Linked DNA regions of Macaca mulatta. The protein of the gene in region 1 interacts with the protein of each later gene in a biochemical or structural test. Links are inferred from orthologs where the notes say so. Each region holds a gene or a part of one and is shown on either strand. Other genes may lie near its edges.

Region 1 (4,099 bases):
CAATCCACCATTAATGAGCACCTAGGTTGACTCCATGTCTTTGCTATTGTGAATAGTACTGATGAACATGTGAGAACATATATCTTTTTGGTGGAATAATTTGTTTTCAGTTGCATATATAACCAGTAATGGGATTGCTGGGTCAAATGGTAGTTTTGTTGTAAGTTCTTTGAGAAATCTCCAAACTGTTTTCCACGATGGCTGAACTAATTTACATTCCCACTAACAGCATATAAATGTTACCTTTTCTCCTCAGCGTCACCAACATCTGTTGATGTTTTCACTTTTTTTTTTTTTCCTTTTTGAGACAGAGTCTTACTCTGTCGCCCAGGCTGGAGAGCAGTGACTCCAACTCAGCTCACTGCAACCTCCGCCTCCCGGGATTAAGCGGTTCTCCTGCCTCAGTCTCCTGAGTAGCTGGGATTACAGGCGCCCACCACCATGCCCAGGTAATTTTTGTATTTTTAGTAGAGATGGGATTTCACCATGTTGGCCAGTCTGGTCTCGAACTCCCAACCTCAGGTAATCTGCCCGCCTCAGCCTCCCAAAGCCCTAGGATTACAGGCGTGAGCCACTGTGCCCGGCCAAGAAGCCAAGTTTTAATGGGTACACAAGTGCCCAGGAATTGGAGAGTGGGGAGTGTGCGTTGACTATTAGTCAGAGACTGTCAATGGAAGGGAAGGAGTCAACGATGGGAGTGAGAGCTCTGAACTCGGTGTTCGAAGCGGGTAATTTATGGGAGGGGCATACCTATGAGCAGACGATGCACTCAGACACGGAAGATCTGTGCATTGGACAGAAGAGACACCTTTTTCCTCTGCAGTAAGAACCAAGGAGGTAAGTAAGGGGTCTGATAGATATGAGTTTGTGCATGTGTGCTGGGTGAGTAATTGAGATAATTCATATATTTGAGAAAAGACAGTGAAATATTTAAAGGTAAATATAATAAAACCAGCTGTGGCACCTATTGGATAAGGAATTACTAACTGATGATTTAGAAATTCCTTTATGTGCGTTAGGAGCTCATTTGTTATCCCCATTTTACAGATGCGCAGCCCCAGGTTCAGTAACTTGCTCTAAATGAGACTGTAGAGACTAACTCCAGCACCCGGCAGCTCTCACCTTAAGCTGCCTGGCTAAGGTCAGCAGCAAGTAACCTGGCAGCGTCTGGGGGCCTGCGGCCGAGGACAGGGCTGGAACTACACTTCCCAGTATGCCAGGCGGGGCGGGGCGCGGCGGGGAGGGCGCAGGCTCCTTCCCAGAAGCAAAAGCGGAAACAAAAGAGTCTCGCCGGCCTCCCCGCCCGCACACTCGCGCACACTCGCGCTCGGGCGCAGACGGAGCAGGGACCGGCGCCCGGAGCGAGCCAGGGAGCGGCGAACCGGGGACCCACCGCGCGGAGCCAGCTGAGCTGCCAGCGAGCCCAACTCGCGAAGACTCACGCCCCCGAGCCCCGCAGCCGACCCCTGCCGGCCGGTGTCCCCACCGCGATCCCTGATCCATGGCGCTGAAGCGGATTCAGAAAGTGAGTGCCGGGGCCGGGCCTGGGGCTGCGGGGCAGCAGGGCAGCGGCGCCTGCCCACGCTGACTCGGCCAGTGGTCCCGAGAGATATGCAGGGAAAGCACGGGATGGAAGGGTGGGCCGGGGTGCGGGCAGGGAGCTGGAGGCTCGGGCCCGGCCAGCGGGCACCGGACAGGTTAGGTGGGAGCGGGGGCAGATCCCAGGCGGCCGGGGGAGCTTGAAGGCTGGGGGCCCGTGGCGCGCTCGCGCCGGGGCCGCTCCCGGAGCCCCAGGGTAGAGAGCCTCCTCCGCGTCCAGACCGCCCCGAAATCTGTGCTTCACGGTCACGGCTGGGTTTTGCCCTCCATGAGGCTAGTTTTGACCCCTGTCATGCTGTGTTTTCTCCAGGCTGTTTCTTAAGCCTGTCTCTTTTATGTTCTTGCTTACCCGGGCTCCCCGGGAGGGCACGGAAGGTGGGGTGGGCCTGCAGCCTTTCTCCGCGGAGCTGTCGGGTTGGTTCTTTCTCCTCTGCGGTTGGCTCTTGCTCAGTTGCCCGAATGGGCTGGAAAGCCCATTTGCGGCCAAGAAGCCAAGAGAAGGCTCCTGCCCCTTCTATTTTGGTGCCTCTGCTGCTGCCACTTCAGGTCACATAGCTGTAGCGAAAACATAGTTGCTGATACACAACAAGATGACCTCCTGGCTGTGATTCACGGTGAGTCAAGCCAAACAGGTTTTTTTTGCCCCTCATGGTAAACTTAGATGTAAAGTTCGAGACACAACATAAACTGTCGCAAATAGATTGTTTTGATGCTTTGACACATGGGTATAAAATGAGGAAGAAATATGTATCTTCATCCAACAACTGTTCACCCATCTCAACCCTGTGTGTGGAATTGTCTTTTTTTCACAGTATTTATTGCCACCATTTCAGAAGCGAACATCCTTCAGAATTGATATTCGGGCATTTCTTTCTGTTCATTTTTATTTCTTGTTGGTCTGTGTACTGACCCAAGTTTTAGGTTTTACAGTTACAGTTCACACTGGGAACATTGAGAATGTGTTTGTTAAATAGGGAGTGCTTTTCACTAAGTTAAGCAACAATGGTCAGTGTATTTTGTAGTTGTTTCAGAAGAAATTAATGCCCACATTTTTATCTACTTTTTTGACCAGTAGTCCATTATAGCAATAGTAAATGTTAGAGCAGTGATAGTGACGTACACATTGTATTCTGACTAGCCACTAGTGGCATCTTTAGGTACAGAGGACAGCAACTTTTAGAGCCTGCCAGTTTTTTATTTTCAAATTCTAAATCTGTTGATCACCTGTTATTTTTTGTCCCATTTAAAGGTCGTCTCATTGTAAAACATACAGTTAACAATCAGCATCAGCATTTATTAAGTTATAATGTTTTCTTGTTTGAAGATAGTTCAGTTACACGTTGTTTTATATAAATATCCTAATTTTGAAGCCTCAGTCGGCCTCTTTACCATAACTTGCATACTTATTAATGACGACGTAATATTGGTTCACATTTGGATCAGAAAATGCACATCTTCCAAGGAAGTTTTCAAATTCTATTTCCTTCTTTCCTAGTTGTGAGAATTTTTCACATGATTTTGCACATACAAGAGCTTTTTAAATTATCACTGTGTTTTTTTAAGAGATGGGGATCTCAGTATGTTGCCCATGCTGGTCTTGAACTCCTGTCCTCCAGAGAGTCTGGGATTACAGGCACAAGTCACCATACCCAACTATAACAATAGCGTTTAAATGCTGTGCAATTTGTCCACAGTAAGTGGATATTCAAAGAAATATGAACATTGTTTGTAAATACCATACTTGGCAGTTCTCGTCAATCACCATGCTGAACTGGTGTATTTGATTTGTATTTATAATGTGTGTGTCCAAATCTTTTCTTTTTAGTATTTATTGGTTATTAGTTTATAGAGTTGTTCAGAAAAAAAAAATTACTTACATGGAATTGATATCAAACATGTGACAAATCGATATTTTGGAGAAGAAATTGGGATCATATACCATCACATCTCTGTGCGTTCATCTTTGGCTTCCCTTTCTGATATCAGGCAAGTTAACTTACACAAGTCTTTCCATTAATCACACATTCAGACCGTTTCCTCAAACCTTAGGGGTGATTATTTTGATTGATTCCCTATTTTTCCTCCTCCTTTATCTACCTCCTTGATTAGAAGCCAATTCTAGGTCAGTTGTGCCGCCTGCCATATGAACAGTTATACCATCTTCTTCTTTGATGTCATCAGTATAGACATTCTTATTTGAATCTTTCATGTTCCAACAAATGAAGATGTATACTAACTTTTGGCCTTTCTTCCTAAGCTCCTATTGAAGTGTTACTATAGTTTTCCTGTACCTAAAGTTGCAGACTGTAGAGCTGTGTGGAACCTCAGATAAGTCTGCCGTAGTGTACTAGAGGGTACCAGCACGGGAACAGCTTCTAGGGTAGTGTCTTAGAATCACCTGAGGGACGTTTTCAGACTGTCGTCACTTCTATAAATGGAGAGGTGTTGAATCCCTCAGATGGGTTGGGGTGGAAAGAAGACTGAGAACCACTGATGTTCT
Region 2 (4,045 bases), on another chromosome or scaffold:
CCTCTAAGACAGAAGCCAAGCCAAACAAGCCAGGCACAAAGGACAAGCGGCAAGTGGCTCCATGACCCTGAAGTTCAACAGGTAACGCTAATCTACAGTAACGGAGGTCAGGAGGACAGTCACCTTTGTGGGGCTGGAATACAGACATACCCGGCATAATGACCTTTCAGTCTGTCAACAACAGACCACATAAACACCGTGGTACCATAAGATTATAATTTGTATTTTTACTGTATCTATGTTTGGATGCACAAATATTCACCACTGCATTAAGAGTTGCCTACAGTATTCAGTACAGAAACACGCTGTCCAGGAGGGTAGCACAGGAGCAACTGGCTGTACCAAGCCGCTAGGTGTGTAGTGGGCAACACCAGCTAGGTGTGTGTTAAGTGCACTCTGATGGTCCCACAACAACCAATTGGCCTAGTGACAGTGTCCCCCTCTTTAAGTCACACATGACTGTAATTAAAGGGTGAGAGTGCAAGGGAGCCTCTGGAATGCTGGGAATGGTCTTCCTTTGATGTGAGTGGTATTCCCTCTACAGGAGAGTGTCCATATGCAAAAATCCTTCAAGCTGTACATACAGCTGGGTCCCCACCCAGATTCCTTAACCAGGCCAGGGCACCCATGCCCCAGCTGCTGCCAGTTGCTACTAAGGGCTCTTTACTGCCACTCTCTCCCAGAAGAATGGCCCTCGGCTCAGGGTCAGCAGTGCAACACTCCCACCCTCATCCCGGGGCGGGGGGGAACCTACAGCCACCAGCCCCTCTGCAGCAATTAGGGCCAACTGTGGCAAGCTCCTGGTGAGATGGGGCTAAAGCTAGCCTCCAGCTGAGACGCCCTTCCTCTTCAATTTCACTTGCACAAGGATCTCCTTAGCGCTTGTGAAGCTGACTGTATCTTACCTTATACCCCAATAAAAAGTGTTTTGTTTTTAAAGGGGTGATTGTTTCACACAGCTCAGGGTATCTTCCTTTGAGATTCTGATCAACAGATAAGAAACCTCACTCCCTCAGAGCAGAGATGCACTCCTTGGTGAAAACGGACCAACAACCATGGCCCGTGGGGTGTTCATGCCCGCAACAGAGGCCGCGCCGCGCTATGAAAATGGCATGGAGTCTCAGGTGGTCTGCCACTAGCTTGCTGTGTGAATGTGCACTCGTTCAAATGCTCTGCAGCTCACCTTCCCAACTTGTAAGCAAGGAAATTTGGTCCAGAGATTCTCGGAAGTCTCTTCTAACCGGAGAAATCCTTTGATCTCTTAAGAAATTTTCATTAACGTGGAAGCCCCTAGGTGCTACCACGCCCACCCTGTAACCGCACAGTACTTAGTTGTGGAGCACAGCGACTTGCAAGCAATCACCATCACACAAACCTCAAAGCTTAAAAAGGATCGGCACACTTCTCTCCCAACTCTTGACCCAGGTTCCCTTCTACCCTCAGAAACTACCAAACACAGCACCATGGCACAATCTTAACAGCAGTTCCTCCTTGGCCTGCCAGCATCCACTCCGCGTTACGTGCCTACCTGGTGGTTGTGATATACAGAATATACTGACAAACAACAAAAACTAGGTGAAGCAATTTAAAGAATATTTCAGAAATGATGGGAAGGGGTGGGAAGGGAGGGGCGGGAGCAAGACCACACAGCATTCAAAGACTTAGCGGTTCCAGTGAACCAACCGATGCCCGTCTTCAGGGACAGACAGCTGGAAATTCTAGACTAGAACAGAGGCGTCATGGTTTGCCTACCCTTATTCTAAACAATGACCATGCGAACAACTTATGGCCCATCACAACAGATACAAGTCCGGAGTCTCTCCACAGTTTCCGGGAGGCTGGTAGCGAATAATTGCCCTGGTCTTGGATTCAAACACGTGGCTATTCATGAGGCGTTCTGCTTCCACTTCAGAGATTATCGACATCAGCAAATGCGCGCCGTTCACCTTCTACAACCGAAAACGCCCTTCAGGTGGCATTCGAAAAGCAGCCACTCCCTGATGCCATGCGGGAGCGAGCACGGAAAGCCCCATTTCTGAAAGCAAACACCCAGAAAGGGTAAGTTCACCTTGGGTGGCACAAAGCATGCCAGGGTTCCCCGGCCGCCTGCATGGAAGGGAGCCACGGCCAGCGCGCCCGGGTCCCGAAGCACAGCGGACAGGCAAGGCCCCCACGGGCGCGGCCTCCAGTTCCAGCCAGGGAGGCCCCGAGTCCAGCCCTAAGTCCTAGGCAGAGTCCTGGCCCCAAGTCTCGGCCCCGAATCCAACCCCGAGTCCTTGCCGGGGCTGACCCGAGATCCGGCGAGGAAGCCCCGAGTCCCGGCCAGGGAGGCCCCGAGTCCAGCCCCGAGCCCCGGCCGCGCAGGTCCCGAGCCGAAGGAGCCCCGCCAACCCGGGCCTCACCTTCCTGCTCGCGCCGCCAAGAGACACCTTGGGCCGCGTCTTGAAGTCGCCTTCGAAGCTGAACATCCTGGCAGCCTAGCCCATGTGCGGACGGCGCCGCCGCGGAAGCAGCCGGGCGGGCGGGGCACGGGGCGGGCTGGGAGGCTCTCGGCGCCCGCCCGCCCGGCCCAGGGCAGCGAGGACGCGGCGGCCGGGAGGCGACCCGAGCCCGCCCCCGGGCTGTACCCTCCCAGCCCTGCCCTGGGGCGGGAGGGGCGGCAACACTGGAGGGGCGGCCCTGCCTCGCCTGCCCCTCATCCACGCCGGCCACTGCTCCGGCCGCTGCAGGGGCGCCCAGCGGGCAGCAAACCCGGCGCTTGCACCTGGAACTGCCGCCTCGGGAGGGAAGATGGCGGTCAGCCGTCACTGCGTGCGCGGCCCTGCAGACGTGCGCGCCTCCGCCATCGACGGCACGGCGCTCTTCCCGGCGGCTCCGCCAGCGTGCGCGGCCCCGCAAGGCGCGCTGGAGCCTGGGGAGGAGGGCGGTGACCTGGGCACGCGGCGGAGTGGGCGGGGCCTGGTGCGTGCGGGGGGCGCGGCGGGGGGCGCGGCGGGGGGCGCGGCGGGGGGCGCGGCGGGGGGCGCGGCGGGGGGCGCGGCGGGGGGCGCGGCGGGGGGCGCGGCGGGGGGCGCGGCGGGGGGCGCGGCGGGGGGCGCGGCGGGGGGCGCGGCGGGGGGAGGGAGGTTTTGGGTGCGGGGCGGGATGCAGGGAAGGCGGAGTGCGAGGCGTGGGCCGGGGTGGGGTGCACGGCAGGGTGCGTGGTGCAGGGTGGGGTGCAGGGGTCGGCACCCGGAGCGGCCAATCTGGTGCCAGACTCGAGTGAGTGAGGCGGGAAAGGAGCAGCTAGGCCCAGCCCGTCTGTTTACACCCCACCTGTTCTATGTCTATGACACGCACAGACGGACGTAAATATTTACCATGTACACAGACATGCGCAGATTTGCCTCATACATACACAGCACACATATGCATCAATATACACACACAGCATCAATACATATCAATATGTATCATGTACACATACCTGTGTATGCATAAATATGCTCCTGGACTTACCATGGGGCTTTGTCCTGATAAACCCATCGTAAGATGAAAATATTGTAAGTTGCAAATGTATTTAATACTACAATAAACCCATCACAAAGTCAGAAAATTGTGAGTTGAGCCATTTTAAGTTGGGAACCACCTATACATAAACATGTGTCTTGTTATACGTATACATAAATAATCTCTCATATACATGTGCATATACATATATATCATACACGATTGAAGCCAATTTCTAAAAATTGATTTTTGGTTGTATACAAGGTATGCAACAGATTTCATAGACACATTGTGAAATGACTACCCTCTTTGTGTTTGTTTGTGAGGGTAAAATCTACTCTTGGCAAAATTTCAACACACAGTATGATACCATCTACAGTCCTCCTGCGGCTGAGCACGGTGGCTCACGTCGGTAATCCCAGCACTCTGGTAGGCCAAGGCGGGTGGATCACCTGAGGTCAGAAGTTCGAGACCAGTCTCGCTAACATGGTGAAACCCCATCTCTACCAAAAATACAAAAATTAGGCCAGCGTGGTGGTGCGCACCTGTAGTCCAA
Region 3 (4,183 bases), on another chromosome or scaffold:
AGTGATTAAATATATGAAGGAAATATGGCAAACAGACCAGCTGGAGGGATCACAGAAAGCTGCTTCTGAGGAGTTGGCATTTGAGCTGGGTGGGACCTGATTACGAGGACAGCCACACAGATCTGGGTGCAGAGCTCCACACCAAGATGATGCCACACACAAATGAGGACTGGAAAGGCAGGCAGGCAGACCTTGGGGGCCACAATGCGGTAGACCATGGTGAGAAGGGCAAGCGATAAGGCAGTAGACACAGGCAGGGCCTGTGGCCATCACTTCTGTTGCCTGTTCACAAATGCAGATGACAACAGGAACCCAAGAGAGCACAGAGGGTCCAGTGAGTATAATGCAACCAAACCCAGCATGCAGATAAAAGCAGCTCGAAGTCTCTTTGCAAGCACACACACAGGTTCAGCTCATCTATCAAATGTTCATGAGTCACTTTGTGCCTGAGACATACCCAAACTACCAGACTGCTTTTGAACTGCTCAAATATCCTGGGCTGGCTTTTCAGTTTCTATTTCCTATTTATGGGCCCTTTCCTAGTTCAGCCTTCTGACGCTCCACTCTGTCACAGTGCTAGGAAGAAATTCTCCTCTCTTGGGCACCCAGCCAGCTGCCTTTCTCCAGCTGTATTCTACTGGATTGGAGAACGCAGTCATTCAGGGCTTGAAATAAAGTTTTATAAAAATCCAGTGCCCCAGCCAGAGTTGTAGTGATGCTCAACTTTCCAAGCACAAAAGGTAAAAATCAAGTAGGCACAGGAGAAAGCATTCGGTTGGAGCTAAGGGGGACTCAGGCTGCCCTCACAGAGGTGCTTCCATCTGTCTTCAATTTGCACTGAACTGCTGAGCACGTGGGGCTAGGACAGCGAGGATAGGATAGAGAAGAGCCAAGGTTTGAATACCAGTAGTTCCTTGCCCTCTGACCTAGGAAAGGTTCACCCAGCTCAAGAAAATCTCAAATTTTGCTGCTCTTCATTTAGCAAACTGTGCTGGGTCTAGCCTTTTTACAAATGTTAATAGTAAATGAAATCCACTGAATTAATCCAAAATCAGGTAAACCTGATCCAAGGATAAGCGGATTCAATGAAAAAGCTAAAGACCACTTCAACTCTCATGAAGCTTGCTTACACGACTTATTAGTTCATTCAACCATTACCTGATCATTCACCCCACGCACAGAGGTGTGATCCCTGAAATACCCTCCCACTTGCAGAATGAATTTTTACAATAGTTTGACGAGTCATTGGTACTGATTTGTAAACTCTGAAGGCAGAGTCTACCCCAAGATCTGGCACATAGAGGCCATTCCAGTCAGTTGAGGGGCAAAAAAGATATGGCCACTCCATCATGAGCTGTAAGTTTTGCTCTGTGCAAGCAAGGAGAAGGAAGTTAAGTCCCAGAAAGGAAGTGGGGGAAGTAATTTAGATGGGGATGGGTGTTTGATGAGGTAAACTAACCAGGGACTTGAAGCCCGAAGCGGGGGGGGGGGGGGGGGGGGTTGGGGAGGAGTTCCAGGCTAACTGAATTGCAAAGAGGAATAGCCTAAAGCTACATGATGAGGCAAAAAGCAGCCAGTTAGGTGCCAAGCACTGTTCTCTAGACTATTAAAACGGTCACCTGCAGTATATCTGGGAAGAGTTAGGCCACGGCGACCCTTCGACAGGCAAGCGTCGGACCCTCGGTGTATTCACCTGTAAAATGGCTGCCAACCCTCCCCCGCTGCAGGGTGGCTATAGAATAATGCCCATGGAGTGCAATGGCTACTGTGTCTGCTGACTAGTGAAGGGGTGCCAAGACCAATGCCAAGGTGATCCCACAGTAAGCACTGAGAGAGACGAGAGGAAAAGCCAATTCTGAGGCAAGAAGCAGGTGGCCACGTTGTCTACAATTCTTTCAACTCAGGTGTGTCTGTGCGTCTGACGGAACAAGGCTTAGATTCAAATCGACCAACCTCGAAAGCCCCGGCCACAGCCCAGGACTGGACATCTTTACACATATCTGCTTTAATCATTATAACCAGTCTATTCACAGTATTCAGGTCATAAAGGCTTAATTGAAAACTGAAAGAAACAAACCTCCTACACAGGAAGTAGAATGCTAACAATCCCATCTGCCAACTCCCACCCCCTTTCACAGCTAAGGGCAAACTGGCCAGATCCCCATAAAGACTTCCCTTTTGTTGTTTTAGTCTAGTCCAGCGTTTCTCCCAACTTTGGTTCGTATTAGAATAACTCGCCACAGCTAGACTCAATGCCAAATGTCCTATGCTTTAAGAGCGACGCGGTCTAGAAAGGAAACGTCGGCTCTCCAAGGGCGGACTTCCGAGCCTAAAGTCCCCGCAGGGCACGAGTCCACTATCACGTGTGGGAAGGAGACTGACAGGCCGCCTGGAACATTGCAGGCGCTCAACGGACAGCAGCTGCCCCGCTAAGACGGGCGGAGGGACGGGATACTTAGAAGTAAGCGGGGCGGGACAGAAGAGCGCCCCGGCAGCTTTCACGGCCCTTAGGAGCCCCGGGGGACACCCCCGGGAGGCCCCTCTGGGTGGGTCCTCTGGCTCCCGCCCTGAGACGCATCTCGCTCCTCGGCTCCATTTCCTTCCCAGTCAGTTAAGTGCCTCCCGACCAGGCCCGGGCTCGCCGCTTACACGTGTCCGCAGGGCACCTGTACCGGCTTCTCGTACACCTCTAAGCACACGGGACACGTGAAGCGGCCTAGGGGATCAGCCTCCGCCGCCGGCCCCGCCAGCTGCGCAGCTCCCCCGCCGTCTTGCTGTTGCGCCGCCATCTTGCTGCCGCTCTGCGCCGCGCAACGGCGGCCGATGAGGAGTAGGCCAAGGGGGCGGGGCTCGCGGCCGGAGGGGGCGGGGCTCGCGGGGAGGTGAGCGGTTGGGGGCGGGGCTCGTGGGTGGGCGGCCCCTCGCGGCCCCTGGGGCCCCTCTGACCCAAGCGAGCTGGAGGCCGAGGGAAATCTGGAAAACGTGGAAGCCAGATCCAAAGGCTGCCAGAATTGGGACGGGCTCTGCGCGTGGGCCGCTGTTTTCCAAATTTAAGTCGTTAGTTCGGCACCACTTGCACTTATCACTATTTATCTTCGAATCAAATTGCTTTTTCCTTAAATTTATTTATTTATTTATTTAATCTATTTTGGGAAAAGGTCTTGTTTTGTCGCCCAGGCTGGTGTTCAGTGGAGCGATCATGGCTCCCTGCGGCCTCGACCTCCAGGGTTCAAGCGATCCTCCCACCTCAGCCTCCTGCGTAGCTGGACCACAGGCAGTCACCACTATGCCGGACTAATTTATTTATTTTTGGTTTTTTTTTTGTAGAGATGGGGAAAGGAGGTGGGGAAGGGGCGATGCCGAGAGCGGGCGGGTCTCACTGTTGCCGAGGCTGGCCTCCAACTCTTGGACGCAAGCGATCCGCCTGCCTCAGCAACCCGAAGTGCTGGGATTACAGCGGTGAACCACCGTACCCAGCCATTTCTTAAATTTAAGCAAATTTAATAACATCTAATTCCTGAGCTGCAAGAAGAAAGTCAATATCATTTATTTATGCAAAGGAGCTGGGTACGGTGGCTTACGTCTGTAATCCCAGCACTTTGTGAGGCCGAGACGGGCGGATCGCTTGAGCCTAGGAATACGAGAGCAGCCTGACCGACAAGGTGAAACCCTGTCTTTACTAACAATACAAAAATTAGCCAGGCGTGGTTGCCCATGCCTGTAGCCTCAGCTACTCAGGAAGCTGAGGCAGGAGAAGCCTTTCACCTGGGAGGCGGAGGTTGCCGTGGGCCAAGATCGTTCACTCACTCCAACAGTCACTGAACTTCAGCCTAGGCAACAAGAACAAAACTCCATCTGAAAAAAAAAAAAAAAAAAAACCCCAACAATAAAGCACATTCCTTTCAAATTGTGCAATAATCACCATCAGCTATCTCTAGAATTCTGGTCGTCTTGCTAAACTGAAACTGAAACTCTGTCCCCATTAAACCATAACTTCCTGTTCCCTCCTCCCATCCCCATAACCCCAGACCCTGGCAATTTTGTCTATGCTTTTGAAGCACTTATAGCTATAAAATTTCCCCTGAGCACTGCTTTCACTGTGTCCAGTAAATTTTGGCATGCTGTGTTTTTGTTTTCATTTGTTTCTCAATATTTTCTCTCTTTATTTATTTTATTTATTTAT
Region 4 (4,266 bases), on another chromosome or scaffold:
TCATAAAATCTTCCCGTTCCTCTCTCCCTTCTCAGCGTGTAAAGAATGTTCTGCAAGAGCACGGTGGCTCAAGCCTGTAATTCTTGCGCTTTGGGAGGCCGAAGGTCACTTAAACCCAGGAGTTGGGCAGCAGAGCCAGACTCCGTCTCTTAAAAAAAAAAAAAAAAAAAAAAAAAAGGCCGGGCGCCGTGGCTCAAGCCAGCACTTTGGGAGGCCGAGACGGGCGGATCACGAGGTCAGGAGATCGAGACCATCGTGGCTAACACGGTGAAACCCCGTCTCTACTAAAAAATACAAAAAACAGGCCGGGCGCGGTGGCTCAAGCCTGTAATCCCAGCACTTTGGGAGGCCGAGACGGGCGGATCACGAGGTCAGGAGATCGAGACCATCCTGGCTAACATGGTGAAACGCCGTCTCTACTAAAAACACAAAAAACTAGCCGGGCGAGGTGGCAGGCGCCTGTAGTCCCAGCTACGCGGGAGGCTGAGCCAGGAGAATGGCGTGAACCTGGGAGGCGGAGCTTGCAGTGAGCTGAGATCCGGCCACTGCACTCTAGCCTGGGTGACAAAGCAAGACTCCGTCTCAAAAAACAAAACAAAACAAAACAAAACAAAAAAAAAAACAAAAAACTAGCCCGACGAGGTGGCGGGCGCCTGTAGTCCCAGCTACTCGGGAGTCTGAGGCAGGAGAATGGCGTGAACCCGGGAGGCGGAGCTTGCAGTGAGCCGAGATCCGGCCATTGCACTCCAGCCTGGGCGACAGAGCGAGACTCCGTCTCAAAAAAAAAAAAAAAAACTTGGACGGCCGTAGTGGCGCACGCCTGTAATCCCAGCTACTCGGGACGCTGAGGCAGGAGAATCACTCGAACCTGAGAGGTGGAGGTTGCAGTGGGCAGAGATCACACCACTGCACTTTAGCCTGAACAGAGCCAGACTCCGTCTCCCCCCCCCCCCCAAAAAAAAAGCTCAATCAATGGGCTGGGGTGGGTGGGGCAGAGAGGAACTGAAGAGACATATTACATTTAAACGCCACCATTTCCGAGGGACGCGGATGTGCTCTGGTCCCCCACCTGCATCCCATTCAGTAAACAAAGGTGATACATATTAGTGTTCCTATTGCCCACCAAAACATACAGCAGCACAAACCCATTTTTCTAAGACCTTGTGCCTGACTATTGCAGGAAGCTGGAGGATTAAAAACAGCTGGAGAATAGATGAGCTATGTTTGGCTCCTAACCTCTAAAACAATGCCAACCCAGCCCCTTCCAGGAGTAACAGCTTGAAAACAATACACCAAACTTAGTTTTTAGCATTCCTGGAAATTCCATTATTAATTCATGGGTCTTCTTCATAAGGGAAGAAACCCCATTTTTGAGGTGAGGCACAGGCCCACGAGCGCAAAATGGCCTGGCCAAGCTGGAGCCAGGTGTGTGTGAGGGCCACGGTGAGGCCCTCTGCCCTGCTCACCCTTACATCACAGTGCTTCCTCTGTAGGTAAACGTGTGGGTTTTCAGCCAGGGCGCTTCTTACTGAAGGGCCCAAGGGCCCAGGGAGAACACAGCTGACACGTTTTTTGAAAAGACTATGTAGCACTTTGGGAGGCCAAAGAAGGGATCACCTGAGGTCAGAAGTTCGAGACCAGCCTGGCCAACATGGTGAAATCCTGTCTCTACTACAAATACAAAAATTAGCCAGGTGTGGTGGCACATGCCTGGAATCCCAGCTGAAGCAATCCCTGTGAGGCTGAGGCAGAATTCCTTGACGCAGGGAGGCGGAGGTTGCAGTGAGCAGAGATCGCGTCACTGCACTCCAGCCTGGGCAACAGAGCAAGACTTCGTCTCAAAAAAAAAAAAAAAAAAAAAAAAGAACAGAAAAAAGAACGTTCTTTTTGCACGATCGAAGTACCGGGGACAACTGCTAACCAGGCCCTCAGGGACGCACAGAGCCCTGGCAGATTTGTCAGAAATTTCTGTAACCCGCACGCCGCGCACGCTCCCGGATTGGTTGCAAGTGGCCCAAAGTCTTGGATCCCTGGGTCCCGTTACACCGGGAGCCGGGCCACCTCGACGCGGGGACAGCGGCCTCGCTCCCTGCCCAGCGCCCGGGCACCCGAGCCGGGCCAGCCCCCAGCGCCCCGCAGAAGGGTTTGACGCACTTGCGGCGCCCTCGCGAGTGCCCGGTGACAGTCGCCAACTTTCGCGGAACAACACCCGCTCCAGATGTGAGGGGAGAGGTGGAAAAACGCCGCCCGCCTGGGCTGGGGTTCACAGGGACCGGCCGCCTCCCGCCGCTTCTCCAGGCCGCGCTCGGGTGCACGGACCCCGCCTCCGCGGCGACCTCGGGCCCGGGGGAGGGAAGCGCGGTCTCCCGGGCTATCGCCCTCGCGCAGCTGACCCAAAGGGCCGGCCCGCGAAACTTCGCGAAGAGGCGGGAGGGGGTCGCCCAGTCGCTCAGCGCCTTTGTCGCTCCCGCCTCGCCTCCGCACGGGGCTCGAGACGCCCAGCCCAGTCCTTTGGCCCGATCCCGCCCGGGCCTCGGCCCGCGCCCCTCAGCTCGGCGGCCCTCACGGCCCGCGCCCCCGCCCCCACCCCCGGAGCTCCACGGAGGCGTCCCGCAGAGAGGCCGCCTCGCCTCACAGACCCGCCCAGGAGCTCAAGCGCGCCCCGCGACCGACACTCACTCGCCACGCAACTCGCCGGCTAGCCAGGCGGGTTCGGCGGCCTTCGGTACCGCGCCGCCTACTCTTCAGAAGCCACAGCTGCGAGCTCCGTCGCTGCCGCTGAGGCAGCCGCTACACTCCTTCCGGTCCTGCCGCGGCGTCACCTCGCGCCTGCGCACAGCGCCCCCTCCCGACTAAGGACAGGAAGAACCATAGAGGCACTCCGGGTGCTGTGGAGGAGGGACCCGGGGGCTCACCACAGAGAGGGCCGCCTAGCCGCGCCTGCATCCGGGCTCTCCGCCTGCGGAGACTTGACTCCCCCACGAGGCGGAAGGATGAAAGGAACGGAGACCCCCATCCCGGACCCCACAGGAGCCGCCATCTCCCTAGAGCTTAAAAGGGTATGGGGTAGGTGGTTGTGGACGTTTACTCGATATCTACTTATTTGCCCTAATTCTTTTGGCAAGCCATTCATTCATTCTGCAGATATATTCTGTGGATTTCCTGTGGGCCACGCACTGTTCTAGGATTTGGGGAAATTAAGAGTAAAGTGGGTCCCGTGGCTGGGCACAGTGGCTCACGCCTGTAATCCCATCACTTTGGGAGGCCGAGGCGGGCGGATAACTTGAGGTCAGACGTTGGAGACTAGCCTGGCCAACGTGGTGAAACCCCGTCACTACCAAAAATAAAAAAATTAACCGGGTGTGGTGGCGGATGCCTGTAATCCCAGCTACGCAGGAGGCTGAGGCAGGAAAATCGCTTGAACCTGGGAGGCAGCGACTGTAGTGAGCCAAGATGGCGCCACTGCACTCCAGCCTGGGCAACAGAGCTGCACTCCATCTCAGAGAAAAAAAAAAAAAAAAAAAAGTACAATGTGTTCCTGGCCTCAGGAAGTTTAGGTTTTAGTGGGCAAGTGAATAACTGACTAAAAAACTGCTCCTGCTGGGCACAGGGGCTCATGTCTATAATCCCAGCGCTTTAGGAGGCCAAGGCGGGAGCATTGCTTGAGGCCAGGAGCTCAAGACCAGCCTTGGCAACATAGCAAGATCCCTACTCTTAAAATAATTGCTGGCCGGGCGCAGTGGCTCACGCCTGTAATCCCAGCACTTTGGGAGGCCGAGGCAGACAGATCACTTGAGGTCAGGAGTTCGAGACCGGTCTGGCCAACATGGTGAAACCCGTCTCTACTAAAAATACAAAAATTAGCTGGGCATGGTGGTGCATGCCTGTAATCCCAGCTACTAGGGAGGCTGAGGCACAAGAATTGCTTGAACCCAGGAGGGGGAGGTTGCAGTGAGCCAAGATCATGCCACTGCACTCCAGGCTGGGCAACAGAGTGAGACTGTGTCTCAAAAACAAAAATCAAAAAACAAAAAACAATTGCTAAGTACACCTTCAAGTAGAGATGTCAAGTCAGTAATTAGATAAATGAGTCTGGGCTGGGCACAGTGGCTTATAACTGTAATCCCAACACTTTAGGAAGTGGAGGTGGGAAGATGGCTTGAAGCCAGGAGTTTGAGATCATCCTGGGCAATAGAGTGAGACCCCATCTTTACAAAAGTAAAAATTAGCCGGACATGGTGATGTGCACCTGTAGTCCCAGCTACT
Region 5 (3,985 bases), on another chromosome or scaffold:
CGGGGCCGTGTCTTTCTAGTGAGTTCCATGGGGTCAGGGGTCACATCTTTCTAATGAGTTCCATGGGCGCAGGGGCTGCGTCTTTCTAGTGAATTCCATGGGCGCAGGGGCTGTGTCTTTCTAGTGAGTTTCATGGAGGCAGGGGCCATGTCTTTCTAGTGAGTTCACTGGGGTCAGGAGTCACATCTATCTAGCAAGTTCCATGGGGCCAGGGGCTGCGTCTTTCTAGTACTGGTTCCATGGAGGCAGGGGCTGCGTCTTTCTAGTGATTTCCATGGGGCCAGGGGCTGTCTTCCTAATGAGTTCCATGGAGCCAGGGACTGCATCTTCCTAGTTCCACGGAGTTCCATGGGGGCAGGGGCCACGTCTTTCTAGTGAGTTCCATGGGGTCAGGGGCTGCATCTTTCTAGTGAGTTCCATGGGGTCAGCGGTTGCATCTTTCTAGTGAGTTCCATGGGGTCAGGGGTTGCATCTTTCTAGTGAGTTCCATGGGGTCAGGGGATGCGTCTTTCTAGTCCTTCTGTCAGTGTCCTGAGCCCACAACAGGTGCTCAGTACTCCTTGTTCTTTGTTGACTAAACATTAAGCAGCAGGATGAGGTGGAGACAAAGACAAGCCAGATGACCTGGGTTGGGGCCCATATTTGCCACCAACCCATAGTGAGGTCTTGGCATTATCCTTTTCCTGTTCTGGGGAAACTTAGAGAAGTTTCCTCAGGCGCTTTCCAAGGCTGTTCTTTGGGGACTCTAACAGACTCTGCCAATGAATCACTTCCAGCCCCCTAGACTGTCAGAGCGGGATCAGCAGGAACAAACTAGAGCCAGCCAGGACCTTGGGGAGCTCAACTACATCATGATCAAAGAGACCTCTGAGGTGAATACAAATTAAAAAGCAATCCTCAGCTTACCACCCTCAGTTATTATTCCATTTTATTCTCACCATATCCCTATTTAAAGTGAAGAAACAGGCCGGGTGTGGTGGCTCATGCCTGTAATCCCAGCTCTTTGGGAGGCCAAGACGGGTGGGTCACTTGAGCCTAGGAGTTCGAGACCAGCCTGGGTAACATGGTGAAACCCCGTCTCTACTAAAAATACACAAAGTAGCTGGGCGTGGTGACGTGCGCCTGTAGTCCCAGCTACTTGGAAGGCCGAGGCACGAGAATCACTTGAACCCAGGAGGCGGAGGTTGCAGTGAGCCGAGATCACGCCACTGCACTCCAGCCTGGGTGACAGAGGGAGACTCTGTCTCAGAAAATAATAAATAAATAAATAAATAAATAAATAAATAAGTAAAGTGAAGAAACAGATGCTTATTAAGTTCAGTGGCCTGGCTGTACAGCCTGGATTGCAGCCTGGAACCGTGGTCTCTCAAGTCCTGACCTGTGGGATTTGCCCGACTCCTTGGTGCTCACATAACTTGGCACACACGAAGTACACTGTCCTGAACTCAGAGCCAGGTGCTCACTGCCTGCCCAGGGCCTGCACAGTGTCTGTAAATATCAGAGCAGGATAAGGGATGGCAATGAGCCAGGAAGCAATCACCCAGGGAAGTGCATGGTGAGCAGCACAGGCTTTGGGATGAAAGAGAACTGGATTTGAATCCGAGATCTGCCACCCACGACCGCTGAGGTCACCTTGGTTCACCTCTCAGAGCCTCAGTTTCCTCATCTGTAAAGTTTAAGTAACCATGCTATCAACACTGGCTTCTGTGAGGATCCAATGACTTCATATATGTCAAGCGCATAATACAGGACCTGGCACACGAGTGCTCAATAAATGTGAGCCACAAAGCACCCACATGCAAGCAGCATTGATTCAGGGCCCACTAGAGGAGCTAGGGAGAAGACAGCCCTGGGAGGAGATGCAGCTGAAGAAGACATACACCCAGTCCTCAGAGGGATGGGCAGAGATGGCAGCTCTGCACCCACAGGGGCGGGGCTGTCTGGGGAGGCAGCCAGGCCTGCAGAGCCAGCTCAAGACCTTCTTGTCACTCCACCTGCCTGCAAGGATGGGGAATGGTTTGAAAACAGCCCTCTCCCATCACTCCCTTCCCGATGTGCAGCCCTCCCCCCGACTTCCTCCCAACCACCATCGCTCTCCCACCCCTCCCAGAAGATCAGCTCTTTCCAGGCTGCCCCACATGCCTGTCCCTCCCTTTCCGACGTCCAGCCTAGATGCGGGGGGAGGGCCACATCCATATTTCCTGGGGTGGGGTGGGCAGTGGCTGACCTGGCTTTACGGATGGAGGGGTCCCCCACGTTGGGAACCGCGGGTGCACCCGAGGGCAGGCTGATCACTCGGAGGGCTTGGTCACGGACTCGGGGCCGCAGACCACCCGGCACGGGCCGGGCGGAGCCGGAGTCTGGTCTCCTTCAAACGCAGGTGCTGGGGACAAACTCAGAATCTCAGAAAGTCACGCAGACCGGGATGACGAAGTCTGAGGCTCTAGGAACCGCGGACTCTCAGAATGAAAAGCGGGACTGGATTTCCACATAGACTGTTTTGATAACTAAAGTGCACACACCAAGTGCTGGAGGGGGCAGGGGTCGCTGCGGTACTGGGGTCTCGGAATGGGACAACGGACCCCTCAGGGGAGGGGCGGGGCTCTGGGATTGGGTGTTGGGGACCGGGGTGACACTCACGATAAAGGAGTATGGGAAACAGCCAGGCCTGGGATCACGGGAGCAACCCCTCTTCTCAGACGTCTCCAGAGCGAACTGCCCGATCTCCCTTTCGGAATCTCTACCTTCAGCGCATCGCGGTGCCCAGCTCGCAAGCCGTCAGCCTCAGGCGCCTGCCCACAACAAACATGGCGACAAAAAAGCGTCTCTGGAAGGCTGGGCAGTGACGACAGTTCTCGCGATAACCGCGTTTTCCTCCCTATATCCGGCGTCGTCCGCGCGATTTCCGGCCTCTCGGCGTTCGGCTCGGAGGGGGCGAAGGTGCAGCCTTCTTCGGTCGTCCCGAATCCGGGTTCATCCGACACCAGCCGCCTCCACCATGCCGCCGAAGTTCGACCCCAACGAGATCAAAGTCGGTGCGTGCTCTCGTTGTGGCCGGGGCTGCGGGATGGAGCATCCCTCGGCCCCGCCGCGCGTGCAAAGCTTTCTAATATGGGGCTCTTAAAGCCGCTGCCTCCTAGAGGCCTTCCCGGTGCTGCACCGTCCTGGCCAAGCCTCAGTCTTTCTAGGCCTTAGCTTCTCCACGTGTAGGTGGGGAGGGAGGACCGAACCACCTGTGGCGGCTTGGGAGCCCGCAGGCCCTAGGGTAAGGCTTGTCTTCGGGCGTTTGGACCCACTGGCCTGGGTTCGCGGGCGACGGGGCTCTCTCCACGCCTCCGCGGTGTGAGGTTCGGAGCTGCCCACGCCCGAGGGAGGAGCGGGTGGCCGGCCTCACGCTCGGTGCTGTTTCGAGAAGAGGCAGAGGGTGATGTGTCCAGCCCCGGAAAGACGCTGAGAGGGCTGTGGCTCGGGGGCTCCCTCTGCAGAGACCCTAACCCTTCTTTTCCTCCAGTATACCTGAGGTGCACCGGAGGTGAAGTCGGTGCCACTTCTGCGCTGGCCCCCAAGATCGGCCCCCTGGGTCTGGTACGTCATCCCCGCCAAGGGGCTTGTTTTCACTTACAGAGCAGAGTTAAGCGCCGGCTCGTGGAGTCACGACTGTGCCAGAGGTGCCCTCGTGGCTTGGATTGTCACCCTCACTAGGCCTGAGCCACTGACTAGTACTAGGTACCTTAGGAAGGTCGTGCGTGAAACATCGAACCCGGTGCCTTTAAATTGTAATTAGCTCCATGTGTCTCCACTGTTGCTTTGGGGCACCTGAGGGGTGGGCCCAAGGGGGTTTTGAAGTTAGGAGTGGCTTAGTGACATTGGGCAGCCAATATCTGTATTTCCTCGTCAGGGAAGTGGGCATGGCATTGTTGGGAAGATTAAATGGGGTGTGGGTGAAGATCCAGTGAGTGTTAACAGCTGTGTTGTGGATGTAAAC

Evidence for each region. The genes of interacting proteins can lie anywhere in the genome.
Region 2: the proteins of UBE2D1 (region 1) and UBE3C form a complex in vitro, tested with the Homo sapiens proteins (8 studies listed by BioGRID). The link is inferred for Macaca mulatta from reciprocal best matches to the Homo sapiens genes UBE2D1 and UBE3C.
Region 3: the proteins of UBE2D1 (region 1) and RNF114 form a complex in vitro, tested with the Homo sapiens proteins (3 studies listed by BioGRID, with this or other methods). The link is inferred for Macaca mulatta from reciprocal best matches to the Homo sapiens genes UBE2D1 and RNF114.
Region 4: the proteins of UBE2D1 (region 1) and RNF216 form a complex in vitro, tested with the Homo sapiens proteins (2 studies listed by BioGRID). The link is inferred for Macaca mulatta from reciprocal best matches to the Homo sapiens genes UBE2D1 and RNF216.
Region 5: the proteins of UBE2D1 (region 1) and LRSAM1 form a complex in vitro, tested with the Homo sapiens proteins (2 studies listed by BioGRID, with this or other methods). The link is inferred for Macaca mulatta from reciprocal best matches to the Homo sapiens genes UBE2D1 and LRSAM1.

Annotation. Positions count from the first base shown.
Region 1 is NC_133414.1:91,527,782-91,531,880, reverse strand, and holds the start of UBE2D1 (ubiquitin-conjugating enzyme E2 D1), read left to right. Parts: upstream 1-1,298; 5' UTR 1,299-1,501; coding exon 1,502-1,525; intron 1,526-4,099.
Region 2 is NC_133408.1:196,597,948-196,601,992, reverse strand, and holds the start of UBE3C (ubiquitin-protein ligase E3C), read right to left. Parts: upstream 2,804-4,045; 5' UTR 2,469-2,803; coding exon 2,403-2,468; intron 2,036-2,402; exon of another isoform or gene 1,795-2,035; coding exon of another isoform or gene 1,753-1,794; intron 1-1,752. UniProt on the Homo sapiens protein: E3 ubiquitin-protein ligase that specifically catalyzes 'Lys-29'- and 'Lys-48'-linked polyubiquitin chains.
Region 3 is NC_133415.1:102,775,406-102,779,588, reverse strand, and holds the start of RNF114 (E3 ubiquitin-protein ligase RNF114), read right to left. Parts: upstream 2,804-4,183; 5' UTR 2,790-2,803; coding exon 2,650-2,789; intron 1-2,649. UniProt on the Homo sapiens protein: E3 ubiquitin-protein ligase that promotes the ubiquitination of various substrates. In turn, participates in the regulation of many biological processes including cell cycle, apoptosis, osteoclastogenesis as well as innate or adaptive immunity.
Region 4 is NC_133408.1:44,014,589-44,018,854, forward strand, and holds the start of RNF216 (E3 ubiquitin-protein ligase RNF216), read right to left. Parts: upstream 2,804-4,266; 5' UTR 2,680-2,803; intron 1-2,679.
Region 5 is NC_133420.1:20,261,747-20,265,731, forward strand, and holds the start of LRSAM1 (E3 ubiquitin-protein ligase LRSAM1), read right to left. Parts: upstream 2,804-3,985; 5' UTR 2,641-2,803; intron 2,384-2,640; 5' UTR 2,228-2,383; exon of another isoform or gene 2,177-2,227; intron 1,999-2,176; exon of another isoform or gene 1,881-1,998; intron 1-1,880. Other genes in the region: RPL12 (large ribosomal subunit protein uL11), read left to right, coding at 2,999-3,035, 3,512-3,585.